Linked DNA regions of Arabidopsis thaliana. The protein of the gene in region 2 interacts with the protein of the main gene of each other region in a pairwise test. Each region holds a gene or a part of one and is shown on either strand. Other genes may lie near its edges. The genes, in order: ATS, ETT and AT1G11810.

The links.
Region 1: the proteins of ETT (region 2) and ATS interact in a protein complementation assay, tested with the Arabidopsis thaliana proteins (one study listed by BioGRID).
Region 3: the proteins of ETT (region 2) and AT1G11810 interact in binary tests that used the Arabidopsis thaliana proteins (3 or more experiments, as listed by UniProt).

Annotation. Positions count from the first base shown.
Region 1 is NC_003076.8:17,070,859-17,081,076, forward strand, and holds ATS (Homeodomain-like superfamily protein), read right to left. Parts: upstream 5,047-10,218; 5' UTR 4,890-5,046; coding exon 4,502-4,889; intron 4,363-4,501; coding exon 4,286-4,362; intron 4,049-4,285; coding exon 4,009-4,048; intron 3,889-4,008; coding exon 3,768-3,888; coding exon of another isoform or gene 3,722-3,767; exon of another isoform or gene 3,446-3,721; coding exon 3,361-3,445; intron 3,259-3,360; coding exon 3,139-3,258; 3' UTR 2,815-3,138; downstream 1-2,814. Other genes in the region: AT5G42620 (metalloendopeptidase / zinc ion binding protein), read left to right, coding at 1-182, 760-908; AT5G42635 (glycine-rich protein), read left to right, coding at 5,369-5,468, 5,521-5,610, 5,701-5,867. UniProt on the Arabidopsis thaliana protein: Probable transcription factor that regulates carpel integuments formation. Required for the specification of polarity in the ovule inner integument. Modulates the content of flavonols and proanthocyanidin in seeds.
Region 2 is NC_003071.7:14,321,939-14,333,383, forward strand, and holds ETT (Transcriptional factor B3 family protein / auxin-responsive factor AUX/IAA-like protein), read right to left. Parts: upstream 7,041-11,445; 5' UTR 6,676-7,040; coding exon 6,352-6,675; intron 6,319-6,351; exon of another isoform or gene 5,874-6,318; coding exon 5,817-5,873; intron 5,731-5,816; coding exon 5,548-5,730; intron 5,429-5,547; coding exon 5,344-5,428; intron 5,263-5,343; coding exon 5,172-5,262; intron 5,082-5,171; coding exon 4,917-5,081; intron 4,729-4,916; coding exon 4,609-4,728; intron 4,514-4,608; coding exon 4,438-4,513; intron 4,317-4,437; coding exon 4,154-4,316; intron 4,069-4,153; coding exon 3,506-4,068; 3' UTR 3,268-3,505; downstream 1-3,267. Other genes in the region: AT2G33850 (E6-like protein), read right to left, coding at 1-86; AT2G33855 (uncharacterized protein), read right to left, coding at 2,779-3,213. UniProt on the Arabidopsis thaliana protein: Auxin response factors (ARFs) are transcriptional factors that bind specifically to the DNA sequence 5'-TGTCTC-3' found in the auxin-responsive promoter elements (AuxREs). Could act as transcriptional activator or repressor.
Region 3 is NC_003070.9:3,985,024-3,994,444, reverse strand, and holds AT1G11810 (F-box associated ubiquitination effector family protein), read right to left. Parts: upstream 4,683-9,421; coding exon 3,549-4,682; 3' UTR 3,379-3,548; downstream 1-3,378. Other genes in the region: AT1G11820 (O-Glycosyl hydrolases family 17 protein), read left to right, coding at 1,118-1,187, 1,419-2,723, 3,030-3,057, 3,169-3,301; AT1G11800 (endonuclease/exonuclease/phosphatase family protein), read left to right, coding at 7,182-7,662, 7,894-8,042, 8,136-8,246, 8,341-8,925.

The DNA.
Region 1 (10,218 bases), on a different chromosome or scaffold from region 2:
AGACGACAGACTACGAGTATGCCATTCAGCATGTCAGTCCTACAATATGGCGTGTGGGGCTTCTTTAGACTGCTCAGATCAAACCCTTTTCAGCACGGCAGAAGAAGGTGATGCTGAATGTACGGGGTCTGGCGAAATCAGATCGCCATGGTTTAGCAGTTTGTGGAGTAGATTAGTAGCAAGTTAACTAGGAACAATTCATCTGGGCGAAAGAAAGATTTGTGTGTACAAGGTAGATAGTGAGGCAGAGTATTATTTTCCAATCTGTAATTTTTCTAGGGTTTATGAGGAGACGTAAGTTAGGGGTCTTGCCTTAGCCCACCTGTTAGATGAATTAGAGTATCTTTGTCTGTCTTTCGAGTGAAAATGCAATATGTATTTGAATATAATATTATAGGAAAAATGGGATTTTTAGGCCGAAGGCCTTCCAAGAGAAAAAAAAAGGGAAAATCTATTTGATTGTCTTCTTCTTCTTAGCTCTCTATATGTGTCTCTAATTCATTCTTCAAGCTCTTATGTTTTTGTTACGCTTCTTAGACTCTAGAGGTGCACTTTGGAGTTGGAGGACTTGTTCCTCAACAGCAATCGCTAGATAAAAGTTGTCCCGGTCACTCTTTTCGATTGGTCGCTTGTGATGTTGTGTACATTAGAGTGAGGACCATTGATGATCTGCAAGTGTTTGGCAATGTCTAGATGAAATGGAGAAATCTATTTGGTATCTATAGCAGAAACTTATTTTGGATTAATATATAATTGCAGAAGCGGATTTGCTTGGATGTAAGCGTGTTAGTATACCGGTCAAACAAAAGCATAAGTGGGTGAAGCTACTCTTTGTATATCTTGGCGTGGTACAAGATAAGACAATTGCTCTACATTTGATAGCCAAGCTGCATGCACACTGCACGTAGCGAACCCTAATTTTCGCAAGAGGATCAAACATATTGAGACTGATTATCAATTGGTTCAGACACATGTACAAACAACCAAGAATATTGCCAAATTCTAACTAAGGCGCTAATTTTGGAAGAGAGTGTTGTGATATCTGTTGATCATATTTTTTTTTCTTACTTGTAGATACGCTTATCAAGAAAGATTTGATATCTTGTTAATAATACCAAAACAACAAATATGGTGTTAATATTGCTCCAATAGAACGGTAAAAGTGACCCTAAATATTCTCTTGGGTGTTTTATGAACAATGTCACACCATATTATTTTGTTTTGGTATCGTGTTGGAGATGCTCTTAGCCAGGCCCGGCCCAGAGCTAAAGATGGTGAAGTTAGAGCTTTAGGCATCACATTTTAGTAACAAAATTTGGGGCATCAAATTGTAAAATTGTTGGTGGTATAGTGGTCAACGTGTTGAATAACCTTCTTTTATGTGTCTAGTTCGAGTCTAACTTTTGTCAGAATTTGTTTTTTTTTTCAATACCTCATTACGAATGGGCCAAACACATTTTTGCTTTACGCAACAAAAAGACTTGGACCGACCCTGCTCTTAGCCATTCCAATCTAACAGTAAAGACTCTTAAAATTTCCTTCATCTAATCTTTCTATAAATAATTTGATACTTGGTTTATACGCTTTTAAAATAATTTATTTGGTGCCGGCTCATCTAGATGTACTCTTGAAAAAATATATTAATTTATTTATATTTTGTTTTAGGTAAAATAATTAATTGTTATATAACAACTAAAAACCAATATACCGTCAATAAATTGTATGTCTTCACTTTTAATAATATGAACTTTTAATTATAGTTAATATGACATTATAATTTGTACAAAACATCTAAATAAATATCAAATTAAATAAGATTAAAGAGAATTAGTACAATGTAATGTATTTTCTTTCATTTTAAATTTATAGATTGTAAGTTTCTATTAATTAAATTAAAATATATCAGTTATAAAAATATATAATGTTTGTCAAACTATTAAAAATAAAGAAAATTCTAAATTGAGTAACATAATAAGAAAAAATTGTAACACTAAATTTGGTGTTCCATGGTTGGAGTTGCTCTAATACTATAAAGATTGAATATCAGTGTTCACTCAACCTGTTCATTTTCCGATCTAGATGAAATAAATTCATTAAAATTGAATTGATGTCACTCATTACATCATTTTAATTAGGTGACGTAGGTTGCATGGTGTGTTTAATTTCACATGTCTAATTTGTCTGGTTAGGGTTATTTTGTGTTTGCTATAATGTATAATGATATACATTTTGCTTTGACAAAAAATATACATTTTGTTTGTTGTAACCTATAAATATATCTTTTATATTTCGTTTCATCGGACATTTTTAAGGAAAACTAGAGAATTCAAAACTCCATTTTCAAGATGTTACAAAACAAAATGAGTTTATGTTCGCCACTAGATAATTATTTCACCTTTTAATTATTTTAATCATTATGATTATTACTCCAAGGTCTTTGATGAGCACAAGCGTCCATGAGGAACAAAACCCGACGTTCTGAAGGAAGTCAAGGTCGCTATTGGCCTTACGTAACAAAGCTACCGATCAAGACCAAAGATCATATCTTCTTTTATATATTAAAATTTAAATATGCAGTCCATGAGCATGATATAATATTCTCTTTGAGAAAAAAAAATTGATATAATATTCTACCACACATCTCGCAATATATGTGTTGACCCATTATTCAATATAAGCAAATAATTTACTAAAACTATAGATTTTACTTTTATGTAACAAGCAAAAAAAAAAGAATTGACCACGTTACAAAAAAACTCTCCATATATAACCAGAGTGGGAGCAGTGGAGCATACCAAAAGAGGAAAGAGGCAGCAGAAACTTTTTAGTTACCAGAGAATCTTTTCCAATTTATATTAAAGTGTGATAATGGAAGATTGAGATGTTTTTTTGAAGACTGAAACAAAAACAAGTTATCTCTACTTGAACTTGTACTCCCTTCTCATCGCACTACAACAATACTTACTACTTCAAACGATTCTCTTGATTATACATATCAAAAAACTCATAGAACATTCTTGGAAAGAAGTTCATATATGATGATAATATGATTCTTCCGAAGCTCATATGATCAAAACAAGTTAAAATTATGTTAAAACTGGTAACCTAAGCTGACTTATTTGTTGTAGCTTAAGGCAATTAGCACTTGAGAAGGGTTAAATCACTGGAGGGTTCCGCATATTCCATCCCCCAACTAGGCCGCCCCAATGTGAAATCCAAATTGAGATGAATGTTGGTATCCTCTTTCTCTTCATTGTCCTATTTTCAAAATATTACACATTATAAGTACATAAGTAAAAGTGTACCATTGTTACCATTGTCAGCATGCAATTAATGAGAGATAAGGGATAAATAATGTACCTTAGTGTGATGAGTTGTTCCCAAGTGAGAATATGCTTGTGTAGATATGCTCCTAGATACTTCCTTTGTCGATGACCATGAAGCTCTGTTCAAATTTTAATAATAAAACACATTTTAGAAATCTGTTTATAACTCCTATTGCTGGACAAAATTGTTGTATTTGGACCTACTTCTATATTATCATCAATTAATGTACATATACAAATTAACAAAGAAAATTCAAATATCTTATATTTCTAATTAGACTAAAACCAAAAACAACCCTTAACGAATTTAATGAGAGATGGAAAAGTACATTCACATAAGCCCTAGGAGAGGGTCATATTCATCAAATTTCACACAGAACTAAGGCAAAAAGAGATTAAATGCAAAATTTTACAAAAATAAATATATAAATAAAAAGTAACCTTTGGGTCTTTTGCACAGATGATGAGTTTGGCGAATTTGTGTCAGTTCCTTCATCAGCTTCTTCATTATTATTATTGTCCTCTATCCTCTGCTCTGCCTCTTTCTCTACCTTTCCTTCTCCTGTTTATTCCCAAGAACAAAAATACAAATTTTCTTTTAAAAATTAATAAATAATGAAATTTTATTTACATTTATATCTAATAAGAATGTAAAAATCAGTGAACTAGTTTGAATGCATACCTGGTGATCCTTTATCAGTGCATTTCACTGTTCTATACATCTGCATTAACAATCACACATTCTTGAAAAATCAAAAACAAATTAAAGGACGAAAAAAAATAAAAGAAATGTTTGGCTAAGTTCATTTCAACTATGCAATCATGCGTTAGATAGTGGCCCAATTATATACATTTCATACATATTTACATATACCTATATATCTATCTACATTTATGTGTTTGAATTCGTATGAGATTCCATTAATTTATATATAAAAAATGAAGAAAAAATAATGAACCTGCAAGTGACTCTTGACATGAGCTAGGGTTAGATCCTTCACATTCATGAGCTCCAACACTGATTTAGGCGTTGCTCCTGAGACAAACCAATACATGACAAATCTTAATACTTTGGTTTCAAAACGTTACACTAACATACCAATCTCGATTGGTTATGTCTTTCTTTTAAAATTTTTTTTGATTAGTATAGGAAAATGTAAGAGGACAATACATACTTTCATGGCCGCCAAGAAGTTGAACAGCATGGACGAAGTGAGCATGAAGAGTAGAAGTCCATCTCATTCTTGGAGCACGAATGCTTCGTTTAAGACCAACCATTGATGATGAGCTTCTCTTGAAATCTCGACCGTAGATTTGAGGTTGGAACATGTTTGAGCGCCTTTGATGATGATGGTCAAATCCTAAGCTCAAGAGAGGTTTGTTGAAGAAGTTGTTCTCATGGCTCAGGTCACTGAGGCTGCTTCCAGAATCACTGCTTGTGGAGCTCCGGTCACCGCCGTGAAGAGGTTTTCCGGCGTGATAGTTAGGAAGACTGATCTGAAGAGACAGATCTGGGACTGAGTTTGAAGCTCTCATACTGTTTCTTGACTCTAACATCATCATCTCACTATTTTCTTTATGATTCTTGTCTACTTAAATAGTGGAGATCAAAGAATGTGTGGAAAGAGAACGAGAGAGAGAGAGAGAGCTCTGCAGAAACAACACTTTTATTGAGGGAGAAAAAAAAGAGGTAAAATATTATATTTCTCCATCGTTGTCATTATCTCATTAATGTATTAAACAAAATTCTATTGTCTTTTTCTTATTATTAAATGGTTTTTTTTTCCAACAAAACAATTCTCTACAATACCTTATTATTCTGAAAACGCTTATTGCACTCTTTTCCTAGTACTACCAAATGTTAGTCCCAATGTAATAACCAAAAAAAAAAAAAAACTAGAAGTGAGGAAATATTTATAGGGTGAATTGCAAAACTAACTGTTTTTGATAATTTATTTAAGAAACTAACACTATAATATACAAAATGTAGAAATTAACACTAGAGGGTAGTAAAATTACTAAATTAGTCTTTTTGATTGGAGATGGTAGTGGTGGTGATGGTTGTGGCCGGTGGTGGCCGGCGGTGGTGGATGGAGTTGATGGTGGTCGGAAGTGTTGGTGATCGGTGTGGTGGTTGCTATGGTGGTGGCCCGCGGTGGTAGTGGCCGGCGGTGGTGGTGGTGGCCGGTGGTAGTGGTGGCCGGTGGTGGTGGTGGCCGGCGGTGGTGGTGGCCGGCAGTGGCGGTGGTGGTGGTGACCGGCGGTGGTGGTGGTGGCCGGCGTGGTGATGGCCGACAGTGGTGGTGGCGGTGGTGGTGGCCGAAGTTAGTGGTGGCCGGAGTCGGTGGTGGCCGGATTTGATGGTGGCCGACAGTGACGGTGACCGGTGTTGGTGGTGACCGGAATAGATGGTGGTCGGAGTTGGCGGTGATGGCCGGCGGTGGTGGCAGGCAGTGGTGGCCGGCGGTGGTGACCGGCGGTGGTGGCCAGCGGTGGTGGTTGCTACTGAAGGTATTGAGGCAACAAGGACAAATTGAGTAATATTACATATAATACAGAGAATATTATAATTACATAGTTAGGATGGTTAGTTAGTGAATTATAGTTTTTTTTGTTAGTTATTTATGCAAATTTCCCATATTTATATATACTAAATCTTGTAGTCAAAAGCGTTGAGTTTTTCTTACTTTATGTTTGAATATAATATAACATTATATGTTGAAAGAAATTTAACAACTATCAATCTTGTCGAGATATAGGAATTGCTCACATCGAATGCCATATTACTTGTAAAACTCGTGTGTCTTCTTACCGTTTTCTTAAATTTTTTCTTTCTTGAATGCTCTTTTTTTTTTTTTTTTTTTCCTTCTAGCAATCCTGAAAAGATGCAATTTAACTCATTTGATTCTCAACTCTCGATGAGTGAGGATTAGAATTCTCAACTTTCATCTAATACTAAGAAAACATTCAAAAGAAAAATGAAAAAGAGAGAGTGATTATATTTCTATATAGTTGGAATTGTGAGAGTATTGTGGTGATGTGCCCAAAAAGTTAAATGCAGTAACTTGGCCAAAATAATTAATAAATAATGATTTTTTACCCAAGAATAATAATAATTTAAGAAACAACAAAAGAGTAAAAAAGTTGGAAGACTTTTATGACAACGTAGATTCTGATTAGTGGTTAAAAAGGTGAAAACAAGCACAGAGAGAAAGACTGGGTGTGATAATTAGATAATGAGTACCCTATGATTTGCTTGTTTACTATTTTCTAATATATAAAATAAATTATTTTAAATTTCCAATGCAAGAAAATAGGCTTTTAAAAGGTCTCTGCCTCTTAGGGCTTGATAGAGAATACAACAGAGTTTGCATTTAATATTTTACTGCAAAACCTTCAAAGCCTCAGATTTGAAAAGTTGACTGGGAAAGCAACCGCGGCTTTGTCATGGAGATTCTTGTTTGAACCACAAAGTCCCTCCAAAAGGAAAATTTGTTTATCTTTCAAGAATTGAGGAGAAATAAAGACAACTAATTACTCTCAATCGTATTATTTTAATTAATTTTCATGACATGTCTCTTGGGTCTTGGCCATTAAAAGAAGAATCGTACGGTCGATAATATTTTGCTTTTTCTCCGACAATATTCTTGTTTACATAAGCATCTTATTGTGTTTTGTTAAAAAGAAAAAAATGGTATACTTTGTTAAAAAAAAAAACAGACAAATGATAAAAACCTAACATTCCCATTGATATTTATTATTTTGTTTATATCAATAAGCATCTGATTAAAAGCAAAATATTCTCTTAAATTAACATTTAACCAATATTTTTTTATATAAAACATAAGAATATTTTTTTTTTGTACAATTAAAAAAACTTCAAAAAATAATAACCACCCGTTTTTTTTTTTTTTGTGTGTACGATTAATAATAGTAATATTCACCACATTTGAAATTTCTCAGATAAAAATACAGCAATAAAATTCGATGTGTACATAGACATCATATTACATGTCTCCAGGCGCCAGATTAATGGCTTGGCATCGAAAAAGCCGAAGTGGTAATATACGATGGAATATTTGGAAAGATAATTTGCTTTGTTATTGATTGATGGAGACACCATTAAATTTCTCTTGTTTCATTTTTTTATTAATTAATTTCTATCTGCTTCCTTTTGTTTGTTTCTTCTCTCTTCTTTGTTGACACTCTCAAGGCTCCTTTTTAGGTAAAATTTCTGGAACTCTCAAGGCTCTTGCTGCTCCTTGCTTTGCTATTGAAAACAAGAATATATGTACTTATTACATAGATGATTTTTTTCCTATTTAATTTGTTTTCTTTTGCAAATTGACAAACTAAATAATCTCCAAGAATATATTGTACTTATTATACTAATTGTATAGTTAAATGATAATAATAAACGAAATTCAACATTCAAAAGGCTAAGATTGGTAGCCATGTGACACTGGTTAATGTTGACTATGAGTATATATGTATCATGTTCTAATATGATTTGAATCAATAACATATAAAAGGAGGCATTCTAATAAATAAATAGTAGTGAATGAAACAAGATAAATTTTTAACTCAAGAAATTTTTTCACTTTCTATCTGTCTAATAGGTTTAAGATGATAACCATGAGCTGTCGTATATTTCATAGATTAATTGTGTATTAATTATGTTTGATCGAGATTTCGACGGGTTAGAGTAAGATGCATTAATAAAGGTGTATCATAACTACAATAAGTCTTTTTTTCTAGCATTGAAAATTTGCAACAAACTGAATCCATTTAATAAATTATATCATAGAACCATGCATTAATATTTTAAATGTGTATTATGACTACTCAGTGTACCCATGTGGTGTGTAATATAGTCAAATGTCCTTTTTGATATTTTATTTTGTTGCTTCTCGCATTTTATCTTAAATTAAACATGAGTTGGAGAATGCAAATATTCCATTTTTTAGAAAGATTTGTATCATTCCCACGTATGTCATCGAGCTCATACATCTCTTTTGCAAAACCCCACGGAACTTCACTTATTATTGAATAACATTTTACATTCTTAACTATCATTCTACATGGTCTAGTGGTTTCGTTAGATGTACAATATTTTTATTACAGCGGAATTCACATTAAACATACTCTACGAAGTAATATAGATTTCAGCTTCCAATCTCCCACCTACAAAAATAGAACTTACAGACTCCACAAATTATGTTCAATCATCGTTTTCCACATTGATATTTAAGTATAAAAATTTTATTAAAAAAATTGTAAACTCCTTAAGAGACACATGAAAGCTAAAACTGCCTTTATCGCTAGAGGACTAATTTATGTTCAATGTCTACGATAACGCGAAAAGTTCATAGATAGACTAATAATATTATCTATGAATGGAAAACAAAAGAAAAGATTCTACACTTCCTGTATTATCGCTGGGCACACGTACGTAGCAAAAATGGACCAACCTGTACACGTGCTTGGACCTATCGAATATCACTCGGTTGGTTAAGAATTAAAAGTAGTGATTGTGGAAGATTTACATATTGTGATTACATAATGATTAACAAAATGAGAGGCCAACAAGAAGAGTTGTTATTAGTAAAGAGAGTAATTAAGAGTGGAATAAAAGATACACTCCGTTAGAGGAAAATTACGTTATTTTGACGTAAAATAAATAAATTAATCCAATAATGTTATTAATTATATATATATGAAAAATCAAGTGACTATAGATTTTCAAGTAAAATTATAGTTTGTCAATAAGTATTTATGACTTTTTATAACTATATGTTCACATTCAAATAATTCAAAGTAGAAAAATACACTAATTGCCTATAACTAAAAATGTTAATCATAATCCTATTAAATAGCCGAACTTTTAAATTATATGGACTCTTCAGATTAGACGTACAACTTTATAGACAATTTTCACTATGTGGAACTTTGGCATTACGTACCAATCCTATAACCATGTTAATTTTGAAGGATATTGCTATATGTTTATTAATCGTTGCCAACTTCTGTGTGAGACCCCGAAGATCCTCGATGTGAAATTCACGTGTACAACCCACTTTGAATCAATAGTTACAATAAATTTAATCTCAAACATTTGCTAATTACATCTTCAAATAAGTAAATATGTATATATGAAAAGAAATAAGTTTACACATTTATAAGAATGAAATTAACTAGAGCAAACTTAATATTGGTCACATCTGTTTGCAAAATGCAAATACATTCATATATATTAAACTATATAAAATATATTTTAGAATAAATAATACTTGTGTTTTACATAGGGTAATACACATTGTAACATCAATAATAGTAAATTGAACAACAATACTATATAGTAGTAAAATTAAATAGTAAAATCATTTATTACAAAACGTTGATAGAGAGGAGAGGACAGGGGAAGGCGTTCTATTCAACGTGTAGCATTTTGTCGTGGCACGTAGATGCTGCATGAGTTCCCCAATATTCCCTCCTCATTAAAGGTTTTCACTAGTTTTTCATAAATATTATATTGATAATTATGTATTTGTTACATCTATAACCTATAGTATTAGTTTTACCATATTAATGTGTTTGACGTTTTATATTTTGTTTGGAGGAAGCTGTCGAGCCCCACATTCCTCGGCGCCAACATGGCCTCTCCTCTCACGTGACATTTATTTATAATTTTGGGTTGCTTATTAAATTAGCTAATTCCATTTTCCGACATCTACATATGCCTCTTGTTTATCCCACACGCACTCTATCATAACATTATCATTGCCGGATCCTTTTTTGAAACTATGGTCCGATAAATCATTGAAATTGGTTAGCTCAAGTTTAGCTATGATCTAATTATTGGCATTTGTACACCACAACTAAGCAAATTTTT
Region 2 (11,445 bases):
TAGCTGTTTCTTGCACTGATTTGGGTTGAGAAAAGAACAAGTGTTAAGAGGAAGAAGAAGAGACATGAGCTAGTGGAAAAAGCCATGGTGATGATGTGAGTCAGTGTTGTGGGTTTGTGAGAGAAAGTGGGAGTGTTTATATATAGGAAAGTTTTTTTTTTTTCCTTTTGCTTACTATATAGAGTGTAAATGGTTAGGTGGAAATAAGGACTGAATTGGTGATAATGGTTGATGGCGTGTCCATTGAGATGAGATGATTTTTTCAAAGGGTAGCTCGACTTTTTGGGCCTACGTAATTAACTTATCAGAAAATGGGTAACTAATTTTAAGCAAACCTATGATTAGATGAAATATTAATACCTAATCTTGCGAGTTTAAAACACTTATTGACAATGAACATGAGCACCATGCCCCGTAAGGATGGGGTTGTAGTATATATTAGTGTTTATGCATTACGAGATTTTCACTAAAAATATCAATGGCTTAATGAGATTTTCACATCCAAAAAGGGTTTATCTCTAATAACACAAGTTATAATACCGACAAAACATATTAAAAACAATGTTTGCCTGAATTAGTAGACATAAGCAAATATTCTGCATACCATCTGGAGTCTGAGTATGCGTAGTGCTCTAATCCAAAGATAATAGTATTATGGTTTGACCCAACGTATATATGCGTTTTCTCAGTTAAACTAAGTTTATAGTGTTTATTTCCATGCATTCAAAAGTTTAATAATCATACCCTTTTTTGCAATTGTAGTAACTAAATACAGTTTCTAAGGGAAGAAGAAAATTAGTTGACTTAATGATAAAGGCAATTCGTTTTTTTTTTTTTTTGTCAAGCAATAGAAAGAAAATTAGTTGACAAAATAAAAGGCGGGAGAAAATGGAGTTGCAAACTCCAAAATTTGCAATGGCAGAGTAATAATGGGAGACGACAGAGTAATAATGGGAGACGACAGACTTTGGGGGTAGCCACTATAGGGACACCGTCACACCGATAGGTTCGATACCATATATATGCTTTCCGAGCCTAAGTATGCATGCCTCTACGTTTGATTTCTAATTCCAAAGTGTCAGGCTTAAAATAGCGTCTACTAGTAGTGTTTTTTAACAATGGCTTCGTTAAACTACATGAATTTTACGAACACATAACATTTCACTAAAACTACTAGCAGTTGCATATCCACTACCAAATCATATAACACTACAAGTCATGATTTACTATTAAACAATCGCTAACTTAAACTAGAAAATATTATCTACCCTATATTTGGCCAAAGGGAAATATTTGTGTATCAATTTTTTTTGTTCTTTTAATATACCGGATTTAGAAAACTATTGGTCTGGTTCTCACTAACATCGAGTGATAATGATCCATAAATAAGCGAACATAACTCGTTCGTAAATCTTAAATATTTTTACCTAATACAAATTAATGCTTTACAAAAAATTCAAGCAACATTGACTTGTGTGAGTATGGGAGCTAGAGTTGGTACTTCTTCTTTTCAGACAATATTAAGATAGATCTCAACTGCCGAAAAATAAAACGAATAAACGGCTCCACAAATCTTTTAGGTAGAATATAAAGTAAGATTATTAATTAAAAACTTTTGATTTGGTTATGAATAGACCCACAAACAATACAAGCAAAGGTTGATTATCTACATTCGTTAGATTTGTCAAGGTACTAGGGATATAGCAAACGTGACTTGCAGTTGGAACTAACTAATTAGGACGGTGGGTTTAAGAGATAGTGAACGATAAGCGACTACAAGAATTGATACATCCATCAATTAAGCATTGCATAAATTATACCACTACACGTTGGTACGTGTATATTCCAACAACATTTGATAGAAGATTAGCACGTCAAGTTTGCATGTGGCTTCCGTAAGAAGCTGCAAGATGGACAACCATGTACACTAAATACTTCCATTATCGGGTATTCGATGGCATGAGAAGTTTTATAAATATAAGTATGAACTTCATTTATATGAATCTAAACCTTTTTCTGTGACTGTGAGATTTCTATTTAGTAGAGAAAGGAAACACTCACAAACACTAGTTTCACCAAATGCATCCACACTCTTTAGTCTTTATAATCCCGCTTGGTAATCATCCTCATAGATCATTTTAGTTCTTTTACTTGATTAATTATTACCTATTATTTTTCCGTTAAAATTTGAGTGTTCTGCTAATTAGCTAACCTACAATATCATCCATTTCTCTGCCATATTTTACAAACCTTAAGATTTCACCATTGCTAATCCTATATAATCCAAAAGAAATATTAATCCATTCCTCCAATAAAATAGCACCAGTCTACAACATACTATTCTGCTCAAGATACTAGTACTACTACCACTATTCAAAGTCCTTTATTATTTTTGTTTGTAACAAATTGACAATCATCACTACTGAACATTTTCAAGTTTTAAGCAAGACAAAGAAATCAAATCCCAAAAAACTTGTTGGGTTTCATAAATGTGACCCTATGAATGATGGATGCTACTTACATCCAAACGGAAGAATAGAAGACCCTTGAAACCAAACCGGATCAAGTCAAACCAAGTCCCTTGAAACCAAACCGAACAAAATAAAAAACCATACATATTACCGGTTCGATACGGCCGGTTTTTTTATTACACTAAATCCAAACGAGAGAGTATTGAGTCTATGTCTCTTCGTCTTCTTCATTACAAAACACACAGATCTTGTTTACAACAAATTCAATAACTTACAGATAATCTGTAACAGATTCACCACCATAAATTTACTCAGGAAGAGGATCCCATAACAAGAGAGTAAACAAAAGCAAATTCGGAACTAAAAGAGGAATATATGGATTCACTTCATTCACCAATCTCTTCCTCCTCAGCCTCTTCCTCGCATACTCTCTCCTCTCCTCTTTCCCCCATTTCCCTTCCTCAACTCCGACAGCCATAACCGCCGCCGGTGGCTGATAATACGGGCTATTCGACCTCCACGATGTATCAGGCAGCCCAAATCTCGATACCCTTTTGAAGAACTGAGAAACCCACCATTGACGGAGATGCGTCGGCGAATAGACCGGAGGGTAATCCCACGATACGTAGTTTGGAATTATGGCTCCGATGAAGAATTGAGAGTAAAGTGATGGTTTCGTTGTTGGGTTTGTGAGGATATGTGTCACCGCTTGTATTCTCTGTCCCCATGTCGTCTCCTCCATTGGCTTGGATTACGTTTTCTTTGAGTGGCACAGAGAGAGATAACGATATCGGACTCCTTCCGGTTAAATTAGAATTACGAATTGAACCGGTTGGTACAAACACAAATAACCGGAATTGATGCAAACACTTTTTAAATTGAACCTAACACAGAACATTCTTGAACCAAGTTTACAAGTCTCTCATAAGTCACAACTTGTGACATTCCAAAAGTTAGCAGCAAGTCATCATCAACTAAAATAAGAACTTTACTTAAGCCACAAGCAAATAAAACACAGAAACCAAAGAACCCTTCTAGAGAGCAATGTCTAGCAACATGTCTCTCATTGCATAGATGTCCCTTCCTTGCGAATGATGATGATTGCTTTGAACAGCTGACGCACCTTTCATGGAATTCCCTTCAACGCAGGGGACAGCCGTCGCAGATGCAACTGCTGTGGTTTCGTCGGTTAATGGGAAACCAAACAGCCTGCATCTGCCTGAACCTCCGTGATGGTCTTCCAGACGTCCGTTAGGACTGTTCGAGTTGGTAAGCAAGACGGAAGAGGGTGATGATGATACAGATGGGGGGAGGATACGTGTACTAAAGTTCTGGAACGGCCCACACCAAATGTTCCTCTGGCTCAACCCGTGCTGCTGCCGATGATCGGTTATTGAGTAGGCGGGAACTGTTTCTTGACCTTGCAAGACCTTATGGAAACCATAAGAGTCACCAAATTCTGTTCCTTTGAAGCGGCCTCTCCTGGCACCGGCTCCACCATCCGAACAAGTGTTGATAAAACCCGGAAAAATTTCTTGACCTTGCAAGACCCTCTGGAATCTCAATGATTCCTCAAAGTCTGTGGCGCGAATCCCCTCTGCAATAATAGCAGAAAACGTTATATTACAGGCGATAAATGGTTATATGAGTGGTACAATGTCTTTGGCTAAGTAGATGTGTACCAGAGACAGGGATATCAGGCTTTCCTGAGGAAAAGCCAATCCTGCTTCTCTTGGGACCAGTTGTTACGAAGCTGCCTGAATTGGAGATGGAACCAGATGGTTCGATCTCCCATGGCGAGACACGCTGTTGATGCCCATTTGCCACAATGTCGTCCCACCTTACCTGAATATGACGTCAAAACATAGTTTCAGAGCAGTGAGCTTACGGATATAGAAAAGGCAACAATCTTATAGAAGACCTCTCAGACCAAACTAATGACTTAAGAACATAATTCATAGCTTACCAAAAGGCATCTCCATTTTGAACCAGGCCACCTGATTGGATCCAAGTCGCTGATACCACTTATAATCCCAGGGGATCTGACAAAACAGGTGAAACATGTTAGAAAGTTGGGCATATAAAACACAGGTGTGCAAGGTTATCTTAAAGCTTGAATTATAAGTCTATAAGTAACCTTCTCTCAGATGCATCTTCAGATTCAACCCTCGCTTTAAATCTCATCCCAATGCAAAAGGGATAGTCAACAACCTTCAAGAACTTTGGTGCAGGGATTATGAAGTTTGACCAGCTTGCCCTGAAAATGTTTTACCAGTGAACTAGTATTAATGCTAAATTCCTGATATTTATTGGAGTTAACAAACTTCTAAGGAACAATCAACTAGAACAATACACAACTTAAGGCTTCAGGAGATTCTAATTATGATTCTGAAATGAAATTTTAAATGCTGAAAACGAAAAAAGGTCATTGTGGTTGGGGCTTACTTGGGGTTGTAGGAAATGCTGAAAACGCTATGGGTCGATATGGCATGAGCTACTTCAGAGAAATTGTTGTGGTTCATATTCTGATTATATTGAGCCGAGAGAGCAGCGGTGCCTTCGATTTGAGAAGCTCTTCTAACTCCCAGTCGCAGTTTGCCATCATCTCCTCTGTATCAGAGAAACCCATATATCACAAAACCTCTTACAGAAAATCAAAGAGGTTGTGTAGTGAGAAAACATAGAAGCATTTTTAACTACCTAAGGAAAAGCACAGCATCACCAGAGACAAGCTTCTTCTTGTTCACAAACGCACTCCACCCGGTAGTGAGCAAATGCCTCCTAGGTTGCCCTAAAAGTCACTCAAACCATTCAAATTTTCCATCTACTAAATCCAGGCAAGAAAAATTGCAACATAAGGCAACAAACTTACCTCGATAAATGTGGCGAAATCGCCACTCCAGGCCATGAAGATCCCTAGCAAGAAGCTCCTGAGAAGGCCGGGGCTGGCTATAGTCCTACATAACAAAATGATTATGTAGTTAAAATCTCTCAATATGAGCTAATAAGAGAACTCTAGAACACAATGTGCAATGTACAAAGCTGATTACAGAATCTACAGAGAGTGGATTAGTACCAGAGGAGGGAAGCAATCCTCAGCAGCTCGGCGAGGAACAGAGAAACCACCATGGGTGCTTGTATCAGAAGCAGTAAGGGTTTTGCAAAACATGTGAGGAGTATTAGACCTCTTAAGCACTTCATAATCTTCCTCTCCACCATCAACATCTATAATTCCTTCACGCACCTTCCTCTCAATGTCCTGTAACAAATCAACTCAAACCCCCTAAGCTCGAGCAAATTTCTCTCTCTTTGTTACAAAACTCAAGAGCCTAAAGAAAAACTCACCTCTGACTCAGGAAGAAGAGAGACTTGAGCATAAACTTCATCTGTAGTCGTCTCTGCCTACGAAATCAAAATCCCCCACATTTTGTTTATTAATCCTCACAACAACAAAAAAAGTTTAAACCTTTACAGAGAATTGAATTGTTCTGAAATCAATTGTCATCAAAATGGAGCAAAAGGCGAAACTTTGAAATCAAATTCATTATCATCAAAGAAAAAACTGAAGATAATTTATGGGGATTTCAAGTATTCGTCATCAAAATGCCACGAGAAGAAATGCAAATGGAGCAAAAGAGGAAACTTTTCTCCCAACATAAATTCGTTTGTCTCAAACAATTCAATAAACCAAAGGCACAAATCTCCATACTTGTATCGAAAACCCAACTCAGATTCACCAAACAAACAATTAAAAAAATCAAAGAATCAGAAAAACAGAACAAAACCCATATCTCTCTGCTTTGAGAGCAGAGGAGAAAACATAAATGAAGAAAACAAAACAAAACAAAAAATAGAAAGAAAGAGAGAGTTAGTTACATACGTGAAGCTTAACATCGAGAATACGACAGAACACGTGAGGAGGGAGCCCGTAAATCGCGGCGGAGAAATCGGGGGCTTGTTCCAAATGTCCCTGAGGGAAATACAACACAAGGCTTCCTCTTTTTGGTAGAGAGATAAGGGGTCCAGCACAAGCATGCCACAGCTCCAAACAAACCCCTCCACCAGCAGAATTCGAAGACACCACAGACACAGAAGCTGAAGAAGACGAAGTAGGAGAGACAGACCCAGAAGCTGAAGACGGTGTTTGCGTTTGCGTTTCGTCTTCCTCCGTCTCCATCACGTTCAGATCGATTAAACCACCCATTAAAGAGAGAGAAACAGAGATAAAGATAAGAGCTTTATTATAAGAAAGAAAGAAAAAAAACTCAGAGGAGTTTCTTCATGACTTTTACCCTCTCAGCCAAAAGAAGAGAGAGTAGTAGCACAGTGATGAGTGAGTCTTTAAGCCGTGGAGAAAAAAAACTTTTCTATTAAAGAAAAAAAAAAAACTAGAAAAAAAGTTTAGATTTTTAATTTGGACAATGTTAAAAGAGAGAGGAGAGAGAGAGGTATCAGAGAAACAGAACAGTACTGAGTGCTCTCTGCAACAGTGAGGCTCTCTGCTACGTCTGGTGACTGATGTGTGTGGTGTGGCTTTTAGACCTTTTGTGCGTGGAGAGAGAGACATTAGATGGGATTAGATTTTTGAAATAGATTGATTTCTTTGCTTTCTCTTTATATTATTATTATCTTTTACACAACAGTTTCTTTGCAATGTTGATACTATTGGATTTTAGTACTGATATAATAATTATTGTTACAAGTATATGGTTTTTAGTTAATCATTTATATATAATAAGATCTACAAAAGAATAATTTCGTCTCTGTTGTCTCTTTGTCTTTGAATCATTTTTATTGATATTATTGTGGGAGAAATAAAAGAATACTGGTGGCATACTTTTAGGGATTGATGCACATTATTAGTGAAATAGTTTAAATCATTTATCCATTATTATATGACTAGTTCATGTGGTTTTGTGTTTTGTGGCGAAGATTTGGACTACCGTTATATTCTAAAGTACATTGGGGGATAGTTTTCTTTCATGCCTTTGATTTTCAGTAGTTTAGTATATGGTGAAAAGGGTTGTATATTTTTCTGATTAAAATTACACCTTTGTGATAAATAATCAGTGTTTATTGCTGTTATTCGAATTCGGAACTAGTTAGATGGATTTTAAAAATATTTTAGAAGATCATGCATTAGTATATATATATATATTGGTTTGTGCTAATGTTATTGATCTATCATTTTAGTAAACGATTTAATACGACCTATTCATCATCGCCTAATCACATTGTTCCCAATAGATCACATTAATCATAGTCGACCACATTGTTTCTTCCTCACTTCTTGTTGTATTTTTTTATGAAGAAGAAACACATTTGCTTACTAAATTTGTCATCATTTTTAAACCAATGGTTGGAATGACTTGATACCATCATCAAGTGAAAGTTAACACATTTTGTTGCCAATGTGTCCAAATTTGGATTTGATTTGAAATAACATTTTATTTTCCTCTAACCAAACGATTCAAAATAACAAAACCACATTAAATGACTAACGAGGACTAAATTTGAAACAAATAACTTCGTATCTTGTGACAAATTTGATTTGTGAGCTAGATCTAATTTTTTTTGATAAAAAAATAAAGTTAAGGCAAGAAGAAACAATCTTAAGAAATTTGTGCATGAACCTGTTATCAACGGCGAATAAATTGATGGATACACAAGTCATCCGAATTTCTAAAGAAACCTACCTAATGGCTATTGTAAAAACAGGAAGAATTATTGCATAAGTACAAAGTAGGGTCCATTAATGGTAGGGCATATTGAGAGAAACAAATGGTAGAGATTATATATGTTTTTGGTAAGATGAGGTTTCGAAAATTCTTATAATTATGTCTACCCAGATGAGGAACTAGCCTAATCATATCAGTATATCACACTTTGAATTAAATTAGAGCTTAATACACATGCAAACAAAAACATTGTTCTTCTTTACCTAGTACATTGTTCACTCCTTTCAGTTCTATGCAAAATTAGATCGATTTACACTTGAACTAGTGATGATGCTATATGAAAGAAATTACAATGTTTATCCTTGAGTTGTGTTAGATATTTCGCAACTCATAAGTTTATTTTTTTCCCACATACTAATAAAGTTCGGAAATGTTTTTTATTGTATATAACTATGGTTTGTGTACATTAAATCTCTTGATAATAAATTTAATCTTTTCATAAATAAGACTATTTATGTAACATATTGAATTTAAGTGCAGTGTACGTTGATTTTTCCAACGGCATCAAAGTAAACGAGAGATTTGAAATGTTTTTCTTTTCTTTTACTTTTTAGCTTCATATATCAAACATGCAAATATCTTATCTATTGTCTCTGCTAAGTGATATTCTTATACCGTTTTAAATCTAAAAATACTAATCAACTTCTTTTACTAATAATACTTACTATCAAACCACAATTTGAATATCTTCTCTTTTTCCTACAAAACATTGTTGTACATATGTATAGAGAGTTAAACACAAACCAAAGCAAACATGAAAAGTACCCAACATTTTCTTTCATTGCCGATTGTTGTGAGAATGAATCTCATCTCAACAACAAGCACAATGTAGCAAACAAGAGAACAATGAAAGTACAAGTAAATACAAGAAACATGCAAGGGTAGAAATGTAAGATAAAAAGAATCTGCAAAAAAAAGGACAAATAGAGAAAAAGTGAGAAGAAGGTCTTAAATTGGGAGTGTCATAAATTACAAAGAACCCGAGGATCAGGGGGGACTTTTTTCTTTCTTTCTTTCAAATTTTTTTTTTCTCTATAAATAAAAAAGAAATATGTTTTTGCTTATTAAATTTTGATGAACACGCGAGACAGTGTAGATGTAGATAGATACAGCTATAGAAGAGAGAGGCACAACAACAACAACAACAACAACAACAACAACAAAAGTGGTTTAGAGATTGGGGCAGGACCCGGACAAAACGGGTTACAAATCCAAATACCCAATTGGTTAATGCCCCGACATCTGTTTCCTATCTTCTTTTGGAAAGTCTCTCGAGCCTCACGCTCTTCCCATTGCGCGTATTCTTCACACTCTCTTTGCTCTTCTTTGGTCTTCTTTTTACCCGTTTCAGACACTGTTCACTTACTTCTTCTTCTTCTACTTTTTTCTCTCTCTCTCACTCTCTTTGCAGTAGAACTTAGCCCCACTTTCATTCAATGCTTCGCTTTCGTTTTTTTATTCATTCGAGGGTTCAACACAATTTTTCCTCCTCCCAATATTTATTTTTGAGATTGTGATTTATAAAACTATCAAATACTATCAAGTTGTATCAACAAGCTACTTTTCATTTTTTCATTTGAAACAAAAAAGGATTATGAATGACACACATGTGATCGGTGTTGTACTTGGAGTTGAACATGCGCGACACATAGTTTTAAAGACAAGTTTGAAACGAATAACACATTTCTATTAATGTTTATAAACAATTGAAGAAAAGTTTCTACGTTAATTTTATTGACTTTAGGGGAAAAATGATTCTATCACTTGATATAGTAAGAAAAGAAAATGATGTTTGCTATTTTTCCTTATTTTGTTGATGTATGTTTGTTATTCATTCATCACTATTTTTTTTGTTAACATTGTTTAGTTTAGTTTGTTACGAATTGTTCTATCAAAACGAATTGCATATTTCAACTATAGCATTGTGTACATTTAAATTTTATCAATATTACTATAAAATAATAGACTACTTATTATGGTGATAACAAACACCATTAGTTCAACAGTATCAAGAAGATACTTATAAACTAGGTGAGACATGATTACAAATGACTTGACAACATAGAACTAAAACTGTCCTTAGGCTTTTACATCACTATCTCAGACGTCCCTTTTTTTTAAAAATAAATTAAATATATACGGAGTTATGTGCGCGTTGGTACACGCGGTGCAACAGAAAGTAAGGGTTGGGATACAATTTGTTTTCGAAGAGAGTAAATGAAATTTTCTTAAGAAGAAACTTTTACTTTTGTGTTTTTGACTGATTACTATTTCGGGCCTTTAAATCCAGCTTTAATCAGTTGTGTCAGTGCCACCCACCGCACTAAGATTGATTCATAATTACATGGTGCGTTTTCAATTTGATGCATTTATTTATTTATTTTATGTATTTCATGAAACAAAATATTTTCTTTTCTAATTAAGAGATTATGATTGTTTTGACTTATAATTTCTTTTGGACTAATGACCCGAACATACAAATTAGTTTCCCATCCATCATCAAGACTTGATTATGTGATCTTGAGATGTCATTTTTCTTTAAAAGTCCACTAGTAATGTAGTACACTATATTAAAACTACATTATTTTTGAAATCAAACATACTTAATGGATTTCTTCTCATGACTATTTTTAAGTTAATTATTGTTATGAAACTATACATTTCAAAAATGAACTGTGATTTTCATAACATACCAAAACATTTCCCATTAGAAAGCAGTCACTATAATGATCTTTAATTTACTTTGTAATTTAAATACTTGTGCATTGGATAGTTATATTTTATAATAATAATAAAGCTAATACATGAGCTCACTCAAAAAAATTAGTGAAGTTATCAATGAATTTCAAAATAAATATAAAACCAATATATCTCATAAATAATTCTTAATTTCTTGCCCCAAAAGTTAACTTTTCCAACAAGCCAAAAACACAATTTTTTCTTTTTTTTGAAGTCCTTTTATAAGTGCAAAAGTAAACTGTCTACTAGGGAGTTTTAGTTTCAAAAACCTAGTTTATGAGTAAATTGACTAATGACTATCTACAATTTACAAACCAAAGAAATGTTGGCGTATTAATTCCTCTCATTAGTGCGACCATAAGCAGATATACCAAACAAAAATATAATATCCAATTATTTGTTTTTTATTTATACTATACTTTTACGTATACGTCCTGTTATACGTAGATAACTAGATATAAAAACGTATTGATAAGACCCGTTATATTCGTTCCTCC
Region 3 (9,421 bases), on a different chromosome or scaffold from region 2:
TTCCTCTTTTTCAGAGTTTGTTTCTTTGTTTGTTTAATCTGTTATCTTATGTTACATATGGATCTCTATGTTAGTATGTTTGTTGGGTTGCTGTATTTTTTTTTTTTTGTCCTCTCTTTCTTCTCTTGCTCGACTAGAAAGAAGTCTACAACTTTACAAAAGAGACTATGTAAAAGTGATACAAAAAGAGAAAATGTATTCATTTTGTCTAACATAATTTCTTTGTATATAAGTTCCCTTTAAACAGTTTAGTCGGTGCAAAAAGATTCAGGCTAACAATATTACTTGTTACGTTTTCTTGAGACATCTATTTTTATTTTTTTTCTTGTATTGTTTGAGATGAGAAAAAGTGTTATCAACAAATAAATAAAATGGGCCATTGTCTTCTTGCTGTTCAGCGGAAGCATGGGTTATATTGTAATTCTCTGTTTGTCAACTTGTAATTCAATGTGTTTGATAGATATATTTCAATGACCGGAAAATAAATACATAGAGAAAACACCTACATAATATAATAGTATAATTCAACTAAAGGCCATTGTTATATGCTTTCAATTGTCCACTTTTATTACATGTGGTCAACACCAACATCCCATTTCCAACCCAATATACAAAACCAAAATAATAATAAAGAATAATATTTTTTATTTTATTTTATCTTAATTGTTTGAAGAACTATTATTTTAGACAGAGTCTTTTTGTGTACAAGCAATTCAACTTTATTTAATTTGGTTTTTTACAAAATTTATGGATGAAAGAAAATATTCCAAATGGACCAAATCTATTAAAGATTACATAGTGATGCCTAGCTGGTGCTTTTATCGGAATTCAAGGGCATTACGGTAAAATATCACATATGGTCTGAAAAAAAAACAGTTTGTGTGGGGAGGAGCGAGCAGAGTCGGTTCACGTGAAAGCACAGAGACATAAATCTTTCTTTCACAGCCTAAAACCCCTAAAAATGTCTAATCTCTCTTCTTCTTCTCCGTTTCTCTTTAGATTATCTCAACCATACAGCCATAAATCCATCGGAAGAGGAGGAAGATAATGCAAGAATCAGTCGCTGAGTCTGAATCTGAAGGGGAAGAGTTGCACAATAAGCTCAAGCTCCTCTTCAATGGCTTTCACTAGCATGGTTTCCACCGTTCCTGTTCTCTTCTTCTTCTTCACTCTTCTTTTGATTTCTGGTAAGTTCACCAAACAATTCCACTTTTCAGTTCAAATTCCCCCAAATTGACGAATTTTACATATTTCAAATAAAAAATTGTTTTTTTGGTCTCCTTTTGAGTTAACACTTGGCTAAATATTACTTCTTTTGTTTCGAATCCAAATCTAGACAAAACCCATTTAGTGAATTCTTAAACCTTAGTTAGAAATCATTGCCAAGTTTCGATTTTTAACTAGCTTTCTATGTGCAGCGAATTCGTCGTCTTTATCTCACAACATTAAGGTTCAGGAACAAGACAAAGATCCCTTCGTTGGTTTCAACATCGGCACAGATGTCTCTAATCTTCTCTCGCCGACGGAATTAGTCAAATTTCTCCAAGCTCAGAAAGTAAATCACGTCCGATTATACGATGCTGATCCAGAATTGCTCAAAGCATTAGCTAAAACCAAGGTACGAGTCATAATCAGTGTACCAAACAATCAGCTTCTCGCTATTGGATCATCCAACAGTACTGCTGCGTCATGGATTGGTAGAAATGTTGTTGCTTATTACCCTGAAACATTAATCACAGCCATTTCTGTTGGAGATGAGGTTTTAACAACTGTGCCTTCTTCAGCTCCTTTGCTTTTACCTGCTATTGAGTCTTTATACAATGCTCTTGTTGCTTCTAATCTCCACACTCAAATCAAGGTCTCTACGCCTCACGCAGCTTCCATCATGCTCGATACTTTCCCGCCTTCTCAAGCTTACTTTAACCAGACTTGGCATTCGATTATGGTTCCTCTGCTTCAGTTCTTGTCGAAAACAGGTTCTCCTTTGATGATGAATCTGTATCCTTACTATGTTTATATGCAGAACAAAGGTGTGGTTCCGCTCGATAACTGTTTGTTTGAGCCATTGACACCGTCTAAAGAAATGGTGGATCCGAACACTTTGTTGCATTACACGAATGTTCTTGATGCTATGGTTGATGCTGCTTATGTCTCGATGAAAAACTTAAATGTGTCTGATGTGGCTGTGCTTGTGACTGAGAGTGGCTGGCCTTCGAAAGGTGACTCGAAAGAGCCTTATGCTACTATCGACAATGCTGATACGTACAACTCGAATTTGATCAAGCATGTGTTTGATAGAACTGGTACTCCTTTGCACCCTGAGATGACTTCAAGTGTCTACATTTATGAGTTGTTTAATGAGGATTTGAGGGCTCCTCCGGTTAGTGAAGCTAGTTGGGGGTTATTCTATGGGAACTCTACACCGGTTTATTTGCTTCATGTATCTGGAAGTGGAACGTTCTTAGCGAATGATACAACAAACCAGACTTACTGCATTGCTATGGATGGTGTGGATGCGAAGACGCTTCAAGCTGCATTGGATTGGGCTTGTGGACCTGGGAGATCTAACTGTAGTGAGATTCAACCTGGGGAGAGTTGTTACCAGCCGAATAATGTGAAGGGACATGCTTCGTTTGCTTTTAATAGTTATTACCAGAAGGAAGGAAGAGCTTCTGGTTCATGTGACTTCAAAGGTGTGGCTATGATCACTACTACTGACCCAAGTAAGCTCTTTTTTTCTTCTTCTTTTTCTCTTGTTATGGTTTATAGTTTGAAGATCTAGAGTAAAAGACTTATGAAAATCAACAAACACCATCTGAGTCTGTTAGTTTTTAGATCCTAAGTTGGGAGAGTCTATAGGAGCTTTAACAAGAAAATATTTATCAAGATCATATACTTGTTGTGTAAATGATCTCGAGTTCCTTAAAAGTTCGAAATTGTGAGTTAACTGGATACATTACATAGTTCTTTATCCTTTTCCATTTATTTCGTTATAAAATCTATTAAATGAGGAGATGCGTATGTTTCAGGTCATGGAAGCTGCATTTTCCCGGGAAGGTATTGCAAGTTCTTGCATTGAACTCCCTTCTGGAAACTCTTTTATCTATATGTTTAGACGAGATAAAGTCTTCATTCTTTTAATTGGTACTCTTACCTCATTTTGTGCAGCAAGAAGGTCGGAAATAGGACACAGACAGTGGTGAATTCGACTGAAGTTGCCGCGGGTGAAGCTACTTCAAGGAGTCTCTCAAGAGGCTTCTGTGTCACTATTATGATTCTTGTAACATTTTCCATATTGTAACCCTTTTCGTGATTTTTATTTTTGGCGAGTTACCAATTTTAGGTCTTGAAACATTTTATTTTGTTATAATTTTGTAATTTGTTGTTGTGGCAATAAAATTAAAAGAAATGAAGTAAAAACAGAAAACGCATCAAGATGTTATCACAGCAGCAAATATCCCAAATAAACATGAAAAAGCAGAATTGTTCAGAAGGAGATGAAAGTAAATGACTGAAACAAAAGAGAGATAAGAAACATAAGAAACAATCTAGTCATCTCTTGCTTTCCTTTTACCCGTCTTGTCGATTTGCAATGAGACTAAGCTTGGAACATAAGAAGTGAAGTCTTCGGGCGGAGCATCTCCAACGGTAAAAGAGGTGAAGTATCCATCTCTTCCAAAGATGAAAGCATTTCCGTGGTTGAGATCCAACTCTGTCTCTTGACCGAAAACTACAACGACTTGCTTCTCCTCGTCAACGATGAATCTCCCAGCTATAAATACATCCGGAAAACCATCCAGCGTCGCCAAGTCCACTTGCAAAAACTCTCTCCACGACACCTTGTTGGGCTCGATCTCAGTCGAAATCCAAATACCTAAAGTGTCACGTTGATATAACACAGCAAGATGATCATCTCTAACACAAGATATAACCATAATGCCTTCTCCTTCATCACCCAAAGACTCAAACGGCAGAGACAGAAGCTTTCCAAAACTCTCTCTTGTGAAGTCAAAACAGAGTAAATTATATTCCCAAACTCCTTCTTCAATTACCTTTATAACCCGAAAGTAAGCATTTCCCTTCAAAGACACGCTTCCTAGTCGCCAAAGATGTATAGATTTCTCGAGATCAACATTAAGATCTTTCCATGAATCGGATTTTAAACTGTAGATTTCATAACCACCAGAAACAGAATTATTTCTCAAGATTTTGTGGTTACGGTTTTTGCTGCTATCATATCCGAAAGCATACGAGCAAAAGTTCTGATAACTCTCGAACAAGCTACGGTTTTGAATCAACCTAGTTTCCCCCAAGTACATGTTACATACCATGAGCGTGTAGTTGCTGTAGTGGTTATTGGAGATGCAAAACAATAAGCCGTCGCAGTGAAAGAGTTGAGATATCGCGAATCCATCAAATGCACTTACTTGATTCACTGATGTGTCAACAAAGTCATCGCCGCCATTTAGGTCCAGCTTCATTGAACAGATCTTGTCACCAATGAGGATAAACCCTACGTGACTGCTTTTCCTTGCGGTTGCTTTACCACCTACAAGATTGGTTTTCGATGAAGCCTCCCATTTCTTGCACGTTGATCGGAGTGATCTAAGAGATGTAATGGGAACCCTAGCGAGAATCTCGTCTACCAAAACCACTGGAAGGGTTGACATCGTCGTCGTCATTTCTCTGAACTTCAGAAAAACCAAGGACTGTTAGGGGTTGTTTCGTTTTTGGGTTCAGTGTAGCCACTAGACAAATGTGTTAGTTTACGATTTAAGGGTAAGAAATCTTTTCTAAATTGGCAATAAATGCTTAATACAGAAGGAAATCTGGAAAAGATTTTAATTATTTTTGGTGGATTTTATTCCATCTTTGTATCCCTAATCTACAAAGGTGATTGGTTAAAATGACTAACAGTAATCTTGTTCAAAAGGACGTTACACGAAACAAAAGGAGATGATGCAAGAAGAAAAAAAAAAATTATTGTAATCAGTGGAACTAATTTAATAATCTCTCTCGTTACTTTTGCCCGGTTGATAGATTCTTCGTATATGCACTAAACTTGGAACGTAAGAAGAGAACACAAGTGGATCAAAATAATATCTAAACATTTTAGGTTTCGAGATGTGATCTGTTCCGATTTTCACAACAGATTTGTCCAATGATGTTAACTGTTTCGTATCCACAGTTTTCGTTCGGTCTATACTTACGAGATTTGGAAACCACAACAACTTTCTTCTCCTCGTCGATATAGAAGCTCTCAACACGAAATTTACTCGAAAAATCAGAGAGCGATGTCCTTTCCATTGTGAAGAACTTGGTCCATGCATGATACTGCATTGGACTCAATTTTAGTCGTTATCTCCATGACCAAGTCCAAACATAAGTCGTAGGGTTGATATAACATAGCGAGCTGCTCTTCTCTGATACAAGATATATAGAGTCACAGTCTCTTCATCACTAGAGTGAAACGGAAGAGGAAGACGCGGTCCAAACCTTTCTGATGTAAAATCAAAACAGAGTAAAAAAACAATACGATTTGAAACTGCATGGCTATCTGACTTCTTTTTGTGGAGCATAATAATAAGTATTTCCCTTCAAAGACACACCGTTGTTGTTGTTGTTGTTGTTGTTGTTTGTCGTAACCGAAAGCATACATGTCTAATCTGTGGAACTTATGGTATTTGCTTCTTGGTTGGATCCACCTGAATTCCCCTTAATAAGGGTTCCACACCATGAGCCTCCTTCTCCTTTTGTGTATGACGCATAACAATCAAGCCGTCACAGTGAAATATATTAGATATATCGTATTGATCAACTATATATATTTCCTTTAAAGATGGATCAACGAAATCGTTGTTGTGGATTCCTTGGAGATCAAGTCTCAGGGAACAAACCTTAGAATACATTACTACGAAACCTAGAAATTGCTTACTTGTATCTGCTTTAATTACCAAAAACATAATTTTCCGACAAAACGTTCCAGGATAAAGTGTTCCACGTTGTACAAGTACATTGCACTTCACTCAGAGATATCAATGGAACTCTAGAGAATATCTCTCCCACCAAATCTACTGAAAGATCGGACAAAGTCGTCATTATTTGTTCGTCTCCTTAAATGATGAAGTGAGAGACGACACTTGTATATTCTTTGCTAAGAACCGTCATTTGTGATCAAAGAACAACTTGACCAAATGATAGATACTTATTGTTCTGGTATTTACAACATTAAGAACTAATTACAACTTAATGAAGAACAGAACTTGCTGGTCTTTGTGTTAGTCTGACTGTAGACCATAAGTATTAGAGATCTTAACTCATTCATTGATCTGTAAATAATTCACAGAACTAACAACTCCTTATAAAGCAAACAAAAAAGGACCAATCCAAAAACTTGAACTTTTCCTACTATATACATCTTCAAAATTAGCTAACAAAAGAAATTAAAACTTCAAACAAGAAAAAGATCTAAGAACAAAAATATCAGTCTCAAAGATTGCTTGCGGTGTACGTCAAAGAGAGCCAGAAGAAGATATATTAGGTTCCAATCTCATACTTGAACCAACCTTGGTTTCAAGCTTTCATTAGTAATTTCGAGAGCGAGTCAAGGTTTGATCATCCAATGGGTGGCTTAGCGATTCCTTGTCCTGAAGATACCTACATCACTGCAAATCCAACATTTTGTTCTTCCGAGTTGAAAAATAGACTTACTCATTTTAAACGTAGGAGTTTTTCCCCCTCTTCTTCTTAAAGTTTGAAGATAGAATGACAGGTTTTTGCAATAGACATGATCATGTTCATGTCAATACATTTAGGATCGATCTTAGAAAAAGAAAGACAATAGACTAAAACTAGTCATCTAAATTTTATTGCCAAGAGATGTACTTCGAAAATGCTAGTATAGATTTTAGTCTCTTGACAATAAAATTTTGTATAAAATTTGTCTCCTAAATAGTATGTTTTTGTTTTTGTTGTATTCCCCAACAGCTAATTCTGTCTTCTGGTATATGGGTATACTTCGGTTAGTTTCGGTTTGATTACGGTTCACCTTTCAAATTTAAACATTGAAATTGTAAACCATCTTCTTTGTCCAAAACGATGTCGTATAATAATAACACGTAGCCGTTAAATGAAAACCGAAGCGTCAAAAAATCAAAATCGATAAAAACTAATTAGGGTAAATGTCAACAACAATCCGATTTCTGAGAATTGTCACAAGTCGAGCAATGTCGTCGTCTTGGTCCTGCAACAAATGTACTTTCCTCAATTCTGCGTCTCAGAAACTCAATTGCATGATCTGCTTGGCTCCTGTATCTCTCCCTTCTTTGTCTCCTCCTCCACCTTCTCTCTCAATTTCCGCGAACGATGAAGCTAAATGGGCTTGCAAGGCCTGTACTTTTTTGAACACGTACAAGAACTCAATCTGTGACGTCTGTGGAACACGATCGCCAACGTCTTCTCTCTTGGGATTTCAGGATTTGACTGATTCGGGTCTCGAGAGTAACGACGCTGATTCCTCCGTCGGGTCTGTTTTCTTTCCTCTGCGGCGGTGTATCAAGCGTAAAGCTATGGATGATGACGTCGTCGAGGTCGATGGTGCTTCTGTTGTTTGCTCTGAATCGCAAGGTGTCATGAAGAAGAACAAAGAGATTGAAACGAAAGGTCGGTTTTTTTCTACTCCCTAGGGTTTTAGGTCTTTGTGAATTTTGGTATACTCATTGTGGCTCATACCTTAGATATCAGTTTGAAAGACGAGACTTATTACTGTATGATTCCTGTTTCATCTAAAGCTTGTTATTGGTTTTTGATTACTGCTAAATTGTGTGAGTTTGATTTCCATTGTTCCTCAATGCAGAAGTCTTTACTTTTTTTGTCATTGTTTGGTTTTTGTAGGGGTAGCTTCTGATTCAGGAACACCTTTAACTTGCTTGAAGATCTTGAGCTACAATGTTTGGTTTCGTGAAGACCTTGAGTTGAATCTAAGGATGAGAGCGATTGGTCATCTTATTCAGCTTCATTCTCCTCATCTCATATGTTTTCAGGTCACTTTTACATTTTGCTATAGAATGATTTCTATCTGCAACATTTAGAAATAGCTCAGCTTTCTTGACAAGTGGTTTTTGTGTGGTTTGTAGGAAGTCACTCCTGAGATATATGATATTTTCCGCAAGTCGAATTGGTGGAAAGCGTATTCTTGTTCTGTCTCAGTTGATGTGGCAGTTTCGAGAGGCTACTACTGCATGCTGGTAAAGATTGTGCTTGCTTGGCTTAGGCTCTTGCCGTCTGTATCTGAATAATTCCCTGTGGTTCTTGTAACTGACCCTTATGTGTAATTTGCAGTTGAGCAAGTTGGGAGTGAAATCTTTCAGCAGCAAAAGCTTTGGGAACTCGATAATGGGAAGAGAACTATCTATCGCAGAAGTTGAAGTTCCAGGGAGAAAGCCACTTGTTTTTGCAACTAGCCATCTTGAGAGTCCCTGTCCAGGTCCTCCAAAATGGGACCAAATGTTCAGTCGAGAACGCGTTGAACAAGCCAAGGAGGCAATTGAGATTCTCAGACCTAATGCCAATGTGATATTCGGGGGAGACATGAACTGGTGCGACAAGCTAGATGGGAAGTTTCCTTTGCCAGACAAATGGGTGGATGTTTGGGAGGTTTTGAAACCAGGTGATTTGGGTTTTACATATGACACAAAAGCAAACCCAATGTTGTCCGGTAACCGGGCATTGCAGAAACGGTTAGACCGGATTTTGTGTCGTCTGGATGATTACAAGCTTGGTGGAATCGAGATGGTTGGGAAAGAGGCCATTCCTGGTTTATCATATGTAAAAGAGAAGAAAGTGAGGGGTGACATTAAGAAGTTAGAGCTTCCGGTGTTGCCTAGTGATCATTTCGGTCTGCTTGTAACCCTTTCGCCAAAATGAGATCAAACTATTCAGAGCTCGAAGTTAGTCTTCCTTAGTGAAGCTTTTGTGACTAGGTTAAAAAACTGTATGAAACACCAAATTTGGTGCGTAGGGTTTCTCTGTTTCGAACTGATGATAAACAGTTCTTGGTTTAAGTTTTTTTTGTTTTTTGGTTTGGGAACGGCCTTATTTCCTGATTCGAACTGAAAGATCAGTCTTATTGTTCAACAATGCCCCCACCTTTTGTAATGAAGATTCTGAAACTAATCACATATTAATATGATCGTTAAAAACCAGAGAGATTTTGGTATCAGAGGGTTTTGCATCAAACAACCTTATTCATTGATATTAACTGAAAAAACTTGTTTAATGTACAGAACATATTCTTAACAAAATGCTACATCAATTGTATCTGTCTCAACAATGAAGAGTTTGAAGCTAAAGTTCTAAAATGAGAAAATGGTGAAAGAAGATTCTTGAAGTATACCAAAGCCACAAACCCTGTTCTTCTGTT